Linked DNA regions of Saccharomyces cerevisiae S288C. The protein of the gene in region 1 interacts with the protein of each later gene in a biochemical or structural test. Each region holds a gene or a part of one and is shown on either strand. Other genes may lie near its edges. The genes, in order: YAH1 and ISD11.

What was found.
Region 2: the proteins of YAH1 (region 1) and ISD11 form a complex in vitro, tested with the Saccharomyces cerevisiae proteins (one study listed by BioGRID).

What each region holds. Positions count from the first base shown.
Region 1 is NC_001148.4:72,662-75,646, forward strand, and holds YAH1 (adrenodoxin), read right to left. Parts: upstream 1,221-2,985; coding exon 702-1,220; downstream 1-701. Other genes in the region: VIK1 (Vik1p), read right to left, coding at 1-345; ATG41 (Atg41p), read right to left, coding at 1,648-2,058. UniProt on the Saccharomyces cerevisiae protein: Iron-sulfur protein that transfers electrons in a wide variety of metabolic reactions. Involved in heme A biosynthesis and in iron-sulfur cluster assembly.
Region 2 is NC_001137.3:248,887-251,682, forward strand, and holds ISD11 (Isd11p), read left to right. Parts: upstream 1-1,831; coding exon 1,832-2,116; downstream 2,117-2,796.

The DNA.
Region 1 (2,985 bases):
ATTGAGATCTCGAAACTTGATGGTTTTGATTTCTCTTTCGCACTCAATCAATTGAGTCCTGAGAGTATGTCTTTGGAACCTTATTTTGTCTTGGCGGTCTTTTAAGTCCTTAATTTTGCTCATGTTGATGTTTAATGATGCAGATCGAGATACAGATGGGAAGGAATCCTTTACGGGTGGAAGAGCCAATGAACTCTTCATAGACGAAGGTCTAGAGCCATTCATGGTGTTTGTCGTGTTTGTGATATCCATAAGGTTTCGAGATTTTGATGAGGACACATTATCGGGATTGTGAAAGATTCTATTCTTTGAAAGAAAAGCGTGTTTGTTTTGCTGTGACGCCATAAAGTACACTGGTCAGGAAATGGTGCTTTTGCGAGGAGAATGTGTGTGTATGTGTGTGTTGTTAGGGCATTTCATATTCTATATTCATTGTTTTTTTGTTTTTTTTGTTTTTTCAGTTCTTTGTTTACCTATTTTTTCTTTGCCGCAATTGCAAATATTATTAACTTAATTGCGATTATTGAGACTAAACAATAAAGACCTGGCAGTGGAGGCATGACAGAGGATATCGCGAAACGATTGTTTAAGAGTATATTATAAAGTTGACTTGTTTCCTTATAATTATAATTATAAATATATATATATAGATTATTCACAGGAGAAATTGGGGGCACAAATGAGGGGTAAAAATGCAGACATTAACTAAAATCGTTGTTATTAACGTTTCTTGTCATCTGGGGCAGAGCGACTCTAATCCCATCGATATCTTTTGACATCTTAATCTGGCACCCAAGCCTGCTTGTCTCTGTTAGCCCGTAAGCAAGATCGAGCATATCGTTTTCATCATCTTCAGGTTCCGGCAGGGCATCGTAGTAGTCTGGATCAACGATGACGTGACAGGTGGAGCAGGCACAAGAACCGCCGCATGCGCCCTCCATGTCCAGGTTGTGACCTTGAGCGATGTCCAGGATGGTTTCGCCCTCACAGACTTCGTACGTCTTCTGGGAGCCATCCTTCAGAATAAAAGTTATCTTCAGTTCTTCGCCTGGTTTCGGTTTTTTCAAATGGCCATGGTTTAAGAACGAAGACGTAGAGAAGGGCAGAAATCTTGTGGTTGTGGTGGTGCGTGTGAGCAGAGATGGAGAGGTGCGTAAAAGATGTGCTGCGATGTTCGATATTCTAGCTGTGTGTCCAGCCCGAGTAACAATTTTCAGCATTGGGGGCGGGTTGAGTATAGATACGAGAAGCGCCTATTTCGTATGAGGTTTTTTTTTTCTATTATTATGTATATTAGGCATATATATACATATATATATTTTGCATACATATTCATTTTTAAAAAAATGCAACTGCTACACGCTTTGAAAGATTCAATGAAAAGTTTTTCCGACGACCAGAATTGGCTAGCAAAAAAACGAAAATGTAATGGAGTCATGCAAACATGACTAATAGTAACAAAAAAAAAAGATATAGTAGAATTGAGTAAGTAAGTTCTATGTATATTGTTGTTATTTTCTCTAAAAAAAAAAAAAAACTATGTAAAATTAGGAATTAAGAATATGCTTGGAAGGAATGCCGATTTAAAATGTGTAGGATATGCGATGCAAGGGGTCGTGAGAACAAGTAGAGATGTGGTAAAATGCGTCATACCGATGACAACCACAGTCTGTAGTTCTGTTGTGCGACATTGGCAAAGGCATCGTTACTTGCAAAGGCAAACCCAGAGGCAGAGTTAGATTCCTTACTAGCAGCAGCAACTGCACTGGCGGCGTTGCCGTTAAATTCCATATCGAACATGCAATCGTCTTCAGTACTCGTTATTATGTTGCTGTCCGTCTTATCTTTAGTGTGCGTGCATTCTGACTCATCGACAATCGGGTACGATAGCGGAAAAGTTAGCAATTCTTGCTGGTAAGATTGAGAAAAGTCATCGGCATAAGTCGATCTGTCCGGGCTATGCGAGAGCATAGGGGGCTCGAAAGCAACGTTTGAAAACGAAAGAGGGAAGACCTCGTCTTCATAGCGCGAGATGGGGGAAGATTCCACAGAGGACATTGTAAATAATTGTAATTGTATATTATTGTGTGTAAGTTTGGTTGGTTTGGTGTAGCCAATTTAGTTTGGTTTTCTCAAGAATAAAACAAGTAAGAAAGAAAGAGAGTTGCTCCAGACCCTTTCCGAAATCAAGATGAGTCCTGTTCTTATATATACCTTTTTACGCAGAGCCGCTTCTTTATGCACCGTGGAGTAATTACCGAATTGCAAAACCACCCGGGTGTGGATGTGGATGCAAAATAACAGTGAAATGAGTAATAACAATGGTCATAAACATGTGGTGTGCAATGTGTCATCTTCGCGCGCGTGCTAAAAAAAACGAATAACGGTGGTGATCCCGCGGCTTTCCACACTGACGGGGTCACGTGTGTTTATTCTGTTTTCTTCTAACGGCTTCTGTAGATTTCCGGACGGTTCCACGCAGCGCCACAGCTTGGTTCCAGATCGACGGAAGAGAACGTGCAACCCTTTGGGCTGGTTATGAAACAACGCAGATGGAGAATATGGCTCACAACCCCAAGGGACTTCTTGGTTTGGTTTTGTTTACAGTTTTTTGCTTGGCAAAGGTGCCATCGTTTGTCATGATAGCATGACGGTAGCAGGCATCATTGATTTTGCAACTGTTGCGGACCAGGACAGTGGGTATGGTGTAACTTCTGTAACACACCCACAAATGTGGTTGAGTCTCTAATGGAGATGAGTGAGTGGGCGAGCCAGGATAGGGTCTTTGGCATGTGCGGTGCTTACCCGGAAGGGAGATGCGCACGTGACTGTTGAAAAAGGGAAAAGCAGAGGTAATGAATGACGAAGTCGGTTCATTGCATGTGCTGTTACACTTCTTAAATAGATATCGATTAAGAATTACTATAATGATTTGTTACTTATTTTTTATTAACTAGCTTTGGGGGAGAGCCATGGAAAATAGCA
Region 2 (2,796 bases), on another chromosome or scaffold:
TGATATGTGTTGTTAAAATATGACGTAATTTTAGAATTGTCTGATTCGTATTCAAATTTGGTGAAGGAATAACGCAGAGTTGACAATTTAATAGAATGGATTAATCGTAATTTTCAGAAACGTAGAAAAAGAAAAACAATTAAAACATTATATTAAGATTATTGATTTGCCTTTTAAGGGTCCATACTCCTGGGAGAGAACATTCAGGATAATATATATACCTGAGAAACTGGCGAGTAATTTGATAATTGTTCGGATTGCATTGTTGCCGAATCCTATAACATTAGGTATACATAGTATACAAGCAATTCTCCCGACGTTATAGGAATTCACAAAAGAGAATCGATGGTGTTACTTTATCTTCCTTCCCGTTATACTTTGTCTTTCATTATCCTATTAGATTACATTTCAGTTTCCATCAATTTTTGATGGCTGTCTCTCAATTTATATTATCTTCTTATACCGTATATGATGGTATACTAGTTTACAATATTAGACGATGGATGATGATTGGTTCTTATCATAATTTGATTTCGGCAGAAGCAATATTAGAGGTATTGTTGTAACGAAATTCCAATGTCATCTGCTTAGTATTATTAATGTTACCTGAATATTATCACATGCTGCTTAAAAATGTGTTATAAGTATTAAAATCTAGTGAAAGTTGAAATGTAATCTAATAGGATAATGAAACATATGAAACGGAATGAGGAATAATCGTTGTATCACTATGTAGAGATATCGATTTCATTTTGAGGATTCCTATATTCTTGGGGAGAACTTCTACTATATTCTGTATACATGATATAATAGCCTCTCCCAACAATGGAATGCCAACAATTATCGAATTATTCACCAGTTTCTCAGGTATACCTTGTATACCTAATATCTTGTATACCTGATATCATAATGTTCAATAACAGTAAAGTGCTAATAATTATGTATTTTTTTGCCGATTTTTCAATATTTCACCTGTTTATCGGTGTCAAAGTACTACGTTTAGTTTACTGTAGGGTTAGTTGATTTTTTTACGGCTAAATTTATGTTGTATTACGGGCTCGAGTAATACCGGAGTGTCTTGACAATCCTAATATAAACAGTCTTAGGGAAGTAACCAGTTGTCAAAACAGTTTATCAGATTAATTCACGGAATGTTACTTATCTTATATATTATATAAAATATGAATCATATTAAGTGGTGGAAGCGCGGAATCTCGGATCTAAACTAATTGTTCAGGCATTTATACGTTTGGGTAGTTCAGCTAGGGAAGGCCGGGTTTTATCTCATGTTGTTCGTTTTGTTATAAGGTTGTTTCATCTGTGTTTTATGAACGTTTAGGATGACGTATTGTCATACTGACGTATCTCATTTTGAGATACAACAATTTACAGTTGTACTGGTCCTATAGTGTAGTGGTTATCACTTTCGGTTTTGATCCGGACAACCCCGGTTCGAATCCGGGTAGGACCTTTTTTATTCATTTTTACATAATATATGCTGAATATATTGGTTAAAGAGGTTTTTTTAGTTCCCAAATGTCCACAGTAAAGTAGATAAAGCAATAGCTATTTCCATCAAATCCAAACAATATTGTATTACCCACTTATTATTAAACAATGCATTTATTGGAGAAACACCCGCTTTCCGGGTAATAGCAGTCTATTTATTCTCATTCATTTATAAGCGGCGGAGAAAAATGATTGAGGAATTGATATAATTACACAGTAACTTTACGGAGCCTAAGGTAACAAGTGAAGTTTGGATAGCAGTTTTATTCCCATTTTTATCTGCAGTATAGGGAACTTGGAATCACCTTTTGAAAGAAGAGAAATGCCTGGATTTACAGCTCCAACAAGAAGGCAGGTGTTGTCTTTATACAAGGAATTCATCAAGAATGCTAATCAATTCAATAATTACAACTTCAGGGAATACTTTTTAAGTAAAACAAGGACTACTTTCAGAAAGAACATGAATCAGCAAGACCCAAAAGTGTTAATGAACCTATTTAAGGAAGCTAAGAACGACTTAGGTGTCTTGAAAAGACAGTCTGTTATTTCTCAGATGTACACATTTGACAGGCTGGTCGTAGAACCATTGCAAGGAAGAAAACACTAAAACCTGGCCTAACTGGTCATTGCATGTAAGAAAGAACTTTCCAGTAATTTTTTCCTTCTCACGTCAGGAAATTCGTATGGTTATATCTTATAGAGAGGTGGCCGCCTTTAATTTGGAAAAGATATTATTAGATGATATTCCTAATTTTCGACCGATACTTTGCATGGTTGGACTTCAATTAGATCATGTAATTTACTTCCTTAATATCAATAGCATTTCTTTTTTGGTAGAAGATTTTTCTTTTCTTTTCTTTTCTTCAACCCACATGGGACTATAAGAGGAGAGTTTATAGCTTGTATATAAAACGCTATAACTAAAACATAAGCCCACTCTGAGGTGAGATGTCTTTACGGTATGATAACAAGCTGATGCAATGAGAGATCCTATGAATTGCTTGGATTCTTTTACATCAGGCATAAAGTTTCCGAAGTATGCAATAAAATGAGTATTTGCTTATTTATTGTTTGTATCGGGCGATCTTACACCTACTTTATGTGCGTAATAGTTGCATCTTCTTTTTTCGGACCATTCCATCGGATAAACTTCTTAGGTAAAAGTGAAAAAAAAAAAAAATTCGCTTATATATTAATCAAGTCATCACTTGGAAGCCGTTCTCTTCCGTTTACAACACGAAGAGCCAACTGTTTTCTTGTGTCATTCTTTAGCACTCTTTCTTTTTA